Linked DNA regions of Kluyveromyces lactis. The protein of the gene in region 1 purifies or fractionates together with the protein of each later gene. This does not show direct contact. Links are inferred from orthologs where the notes say so. Each region holds a gene or a part of one and is shown on either strand. Other genes may lie near its edges.

What was found. The genes of interacting proteins can lie anywhere in the genome.
Region 2: the proteins of EFG1 (region 1) and NOP1 purify together in Saccharomyces cerevisiae (affinity purification with mass spectrometry, with the first as the bait; 3 studies listed by BioGRID). This does not show direct contact. The link is inferred for Kluyveromyces lactis from reciprocal best matches to the Saccharomyces cerevisiae genes EFG1 and NOP1.

What each region holds. Positions count from the first base shown.
Region 1 is NC_006037.1:870,845-873,561, forward strand, and holds EFG1 (Efg1p), read right to left. Parts: upstream 1,233-2,717; coding exon 546-1,232; downstream 1-545. Other genes in the region: SLH1 (RNA helicase), read left to right, coding at 1-460; KLLA0_A09933g (DUF2406 domain-containing protein), read right to left, coding at 1,821-2,414. UniProt on the Saccharomyces cerevisiae protein: Involved in rRNA processing. Required growth at elevated temperatures, resistance to hydroxyurea and for cell cycle progression.
Region 2 is NC_006039.1:399,841-402,949, reverse strand, and holds NOP1 (rRNA methyltransferase NOP1), read right to left. Parts: upstream 1,530-3,109; coding exon 522-1,529; downstream 1-521. Other genes in the region: trans-2-enoyl-CoA reductase (NADPH) TSC13, read left to right, coding at 2,360-3,109.

The sequences.
Region 1 (2,717 bases):
TTTAGACTCTTTAGCAAGACTTCAAGATGACAATGGCGCCAAGAACAAGGTGAAGAATATCATGTCCAGACAGTACCATGTTACACCTGACCATCAAAAACGTATGTTGAGGGAAATATCCAGGTTACCCATATTAGACAATATTGTGTTCACTTCTCAGACCAGTAATGAATCATTAGTTCTTAAGGCCACACACCATAACAGGGTACCTAAAGAATTTTCAGTATACTGTGCGAAATATCCAAAGACTCAAAGAGAGCTCTGGTTTGCGATTGCATATCAAAACGATGAACTAATCATGTTGAAAAGATGTCAGCCAAGACTAGGACCCAATGGAAAAGGTTTACTAAGTTTCGACTTTGTTGTACCTGAAGATATTCGCGGTAAAGAATTAGATTTCGTTTTGGTAAGTGATGCTCTTGATATCAAGTACCACCTGAAGCACAAATTGATGGAGTAAGGAACTCTTACATTTTAAACACATATATAAATACATTAATTCTTTTTAATAAAAGTACAACAGTTGGCAAGCAGTTGCCTACACTTCACTCGAAGAAATCGTCTTCTTCTTCTTCGTCGTTGAACTGTTTCTCTGTAGCTTCTTCTTCTACTTGCTCTTCTTCCAACATGACACCCGTACTGTCCTTATTCAATCTCTTACCTTCCAAAATTTGGCTCAAGGACACGGGCAAAGTACCCTCATCCAATTGCTTAGCAACAAGATTACGGAATTCAGTTCTCTTGGCGTCAGTACTATCTAAACCCTTCTTCACTTCTTCAGACAATTCTTTAGCATCTGAAGAGCCAGTTGGATATAACGCAATATATTTACTCAGTCTTGGGAAATTGACAACATAACATAGATCTATCGTACAGTCACGTAACTCGTTTTGAAATCTCTTATTCTCAGGATCAGCAATCACTTTCTTGGACGCTTGCTTGTACCTCCGTAACGCTTTTTTCCGTTCGAAAAACCTCACCATATGATATTTCTTAGCATTTTTACGACCAACCTGCCTCAACTCTGCCTCTTTCAATTCAAACTTCAAACCTTCCAACATACGTTCCTTCTCCACGATTACAGTGTCAGGAAGTACGTCTCTTCTCTTCTGTAGTAGTCTCTCTACGTTTCTTATCTGTTTCTTGATCTTATTCGCTCCAGCACCAATGACACTGGCCAACTGCAACGACGAATCGTGTCTTTGTCTAGGACGTTTAGATTTACCGCTCATATTATCAATGTGGAATATGGTTTACTGCACAGTCTTTGTATCCAGGCCAGCTATTGTCCTGTTACCAACCTATTCAGCTGTACCTCATCTCATCTCATCTCATAGAAGATTCTTTTCAGCTCGAATCAAAGCTTTATTTCTTTTTCTTTGGCAATGAGGTATATGAAGAGACGTGAACAAACAACGAGAGAACTCAAGAAGCGTTGTTGTCCTAGAATACCTACGAAGCAGTAGTACATAAGTATGGTATCGTAATTTTTCGAATTATATATCTGTACGTGTGCACATATTTTATTTATATCCACACAGTAAGATGAAGTTTGCCAGGGAAAATCCCAAGGGTATCTTACAGGTAAAAGGTGCATCCTTTAAACAAGGCATTGCTCCTGGAGGGACGCGGCACCAGCAAACTCTGATCATTTTTTCCACCAATAATTAGGGTATTACAGGATATCAGACGTTTTTTTTGGAGAATTGAAGAGGGCGTGGATGTGTATGTGTTACATGGAATGAGAGAACTGACGCAAAAAGAGAGGGAAGTAAATAGAAGAAGAAGAAGAATAGCACTGGGGCATTCTCGCCCCAGTGTCAGTCCTTCTTCTTCCTGCCGAAAAACCCTCTCTTTTTCTTCGTCTTCTGTTCCTTATTCGCATCAGAAACGGGTGCCTGATACACACCTTGTTGCTGGTACGAATTCGTCGTATTCGTATTCATATTCAAGTTCGATGGGTACCCATGATGGTCGTTCCCATTGCCTGCAACACCACCAGTATACGCCTGGAACCCGGGCCTGACCCTAAACCCGTACTGTGGCGTTTCTAGCTGCTGCGACCAAGTCGGATCTCCAGAGATTGAATACTCAAAGCCTCTAATCGTATCCAACGGACGCTCGTCACGTGACCGCGTGGGGTTAGACACATCAGGTTGCTGGATAGGTTGTCCAAACACGTCCTTCAACTCCCCCGTGGGCACGTGCGACTGTCTGTTCATATTGCCCTGGAACGTGTCTGCTGCTTGCTCGAAGGGCTGCATCTCTTGCACCGCCTCAAGGATAGGATCATGAACCGATGCAGTCCGAACTTTCAAATGCTGACGGTCTTCCTTTGTAATCTTCACTTCGTTTGAACCGGTGGAACCATGGCTGCTCGAATCACCACTACTACGTCTGTTGAAAACACCCATACTGTATTATAACCTTGTATATTAATCCCTTGGACGTTGTTGAACTGAATACAGAGAGGTACTCTCCCCTTTTGATGGAAGTCAATGTTTATGGTCAGGTTCTATTTAAATAGTCTTTTTTCCTATTATAAGATTTTTGTCCAAAAGGCCGAGACTGATGAAGATTTGAATCATGCAATGCGAGAGAGGAATGGAAAAGTTTCGCAAACTCAGCCACTTCGGACGGCTGATAAGTTCAGAAGGTTTGTAGAAAATACGATTGTGTCAATGCGGCATGTATGGAGAAGGCTGGTATTTTTGGAT
Region 2 (3,109 bases), on another chromosome or scaffold:
AGACATGATTTTCTAGAACGTATGGTTGTTATTGATATATATAAGTTATATATAGTATGTGATAATAATAATAATATATCTACAAATTAAATGTACAAAATAAGGTTAAGAGTGTTCGAGTATTAATACCGTTATTGTGAAAATGGGTTCTTTTGTATTGTCAAGTTGATGAACAAGGTTTTGAAATCTTCTTCTATTCTTTTCCCGTCAGTTAGTCGATCTCCTTTGAACAGGCGAAGGACCTGGACTGTAAGTAAAAGAAACACACAGAGTGACAAAATACAAGTGAAGACGAAGTGGAGACTTTTCTAGTTTGTAGAACTTTATCACGAATCAATGAGATGCAAAATTTCAAATAATATTATAGTGTTAATGATTGTATTGGAATGAAGGTTTTTAAAACTAAAAAGTAAGCAAAAAAAGATTAGAAGCCAAAAAAAAAAGATTAATAGAAGGAATCATGAACCAAGTAGGCATACTCTAGCATTGGTTTCAAAATATCAATATTTCTTTAGCAGCTCTTATAATCCACTTCTCATGTATTTACCGATAACGATACAATGGTCTCTTTCATAAGGTTCCAAAGTCAATTGTTCCAAAGGCTTAATCTTTTCTTCTCTCAATTTTTGAACTTCTCTAGCGAACACAGTTTCAGCATCAACAGTAGAATCGATACAGTTAGCCTTGATAGAGATAACGACACCACCTTGATCCTTCAAGAACATATGAGAGTTCAAAGCAATAATACGGGCTTGATCAGGTTGAGCAACATCTGCGAAGACGGCGTCAACCATACCGATAAGCATTCTGTATTTTTGTGGATGTCTAGCATCTTCAATAATTGGGATAACATTTGGTCTCTTCTTAGCCATAGAGATCAATTCTCTACCTGGTCTGTGAGAGAACTCAACAGCGTAAACCAACCCTTCTGGACCAACGACATCGGAAACGTGGGACACAGATGTACCGGAAGCAGCACCTAGATATAGAACCTTCTTACCTGGAGCAATGAATAGTTCATCCAAACCACCCATGATACCGGCAGCCAATTTGGATCTGAAAGGATTCCAAACACGGTATTCCACCTTAGTTGGTGGGACACCTTCTTCAGTGGAAGGTTCTTCAACTGAAACTCTCTTTTCACCGTACACAGATTCACCTGGAGCGATGTTCTTTGTGACCAAAAGATCTTCTTTACCTCTGGCAATAAAAACACCAGCATGCTTATGAGGTTCGATAACAACCTTAGCACCACCACGGGCACCACCACGAGCACCACCACGAGCACCACCACGAGGACCACCTCTGGAACCACCACGGGCACCACCAAATCCACCTCTGGAACCACCGCGAGCGCCACCACGAGGACCACCACGACCACCACCGAATCCACCTCTGGAACCACCACGGGAACCACCGAATCCACCACGGCCACCGCCAAATCCACCTCTGGAACCACCTCTGGAACCACCGCCGAATCCACCACGGGAACCGCCTCTGCCACCTCTAGAACCTGCTTGGAATGCCATTATTATTCTTAACTAGTTGGGAATTATCTGTCTTGAGATATAATGATTATGCTGCTGTTGCTGCTCTTGATCTTCTTCTCTCTAAATTGGACAAAGGAAAAAAAAAGAATTAAAATTGTGAATCAGTAACAGGTATTGTCGTTGACTTTGAAACAGAATCCTGGACGGCTGTAAAACTCTTCTAAAATGGGTAGATTATAGGAACAGAAAACGTACACAATACTATTCTATAAACAATTGATTACTTCTTTCAAGCAAGAACAACTTAATAAACTCTTACTTTACATTCGATGAGATGAGCTTTCGAAACTTTTTTTTTTCAGCTGAAAAATTTTGAATGAAAAAACAATATTAAATTTCTTTTTCAAAGTTCTCATCTTTGGTCTTTCTGTGCCTCTTGGTACGTACAGAACGATGAACGTTAAAGTCACATGACTATTGTCACATCTGTATCACGTGATATGAATTGATTATATAATCATATGAATCTACAACTTTTCAAGATTTTTTTTTGCTATGTTGAGCCAGATACTTGCTACAATGCGTACGTTTACTAAGGATTTCTATACAAGTTTTTCATAGTCAACATTGCGAAAATATGCAGATGAGATCATTTTTGGTTGTTGTTGTGAATATCGGTATCTTTATAAAAGCAGATAAAAAATCAGAGAAGTGGAACCAGCTTTGACTTTTGTACGTTATAGCAATCAGAATCTGAATTAGTATATCTGGATAAATTTTCTGGTTTAGTTTTGAGATCCTATTTTCCAAACTATCGCTGTATATTTTAATCCGACAGTTGAAGATATTACCTAGATAAGTGTCCCTTTATGTCTGCATCCAGTTCAATTTTTATTAAATCACGCTCAAAGAGCTTAAAAGACGTCAAGTTGGAAGTTCCAACAGAAAATACGTTGACATATCAATCTGTTTTGCAACAGATTTCGAAAAGCAATCACAATATTAGCGTTAACAGGTTAAGGTTAAGCTATCTGAAAGAAGGTAAGCAAGTCGCCATTGGGCCCTCTGAATTGAACGATGTTGGTAAGAAAAACACGTTCGATTCAGTTAACGAGTGGTATGTTAAGGATTTGGGTCCGCAGATCTCTTGGAGACTGGTGTTTTTCATCGAATATTTGGGTCCGATCTTGATCCATTCTTTAGTTTACCTTTTGTCTTTAAACGCAACAGTTAGGGACAAATTTCATTCTAAAAATGTTCCATATAACGATTTCTTCAATAAGTTCATCTACCGTCTGATTATGGTCCATTATCTAAAGAGAGAATTCGAAACATTGTTCATTCATTCTTTCTCCCTGGAAACCATGCCATTGTTCAATTTGTTCAAGAACTCTTTCCATTACTGGATCTTGAACGGGTTGATCTCGTTGGGTTACTTTGGTTACGGGTTCCCATTCGCTAACAAGACCTTATACAGAGTTTACAGCGCTCTCAAGATATCTGATTTCAGAGTCTTAACCGCTTTGTTTGGATTGTCAGAGATGTTCAATTTCTATATCCATGTCGCATTGCGTAGATGGGGTGATGAACAAAAGAGAAACGGTGTCACGAAGAGAGTC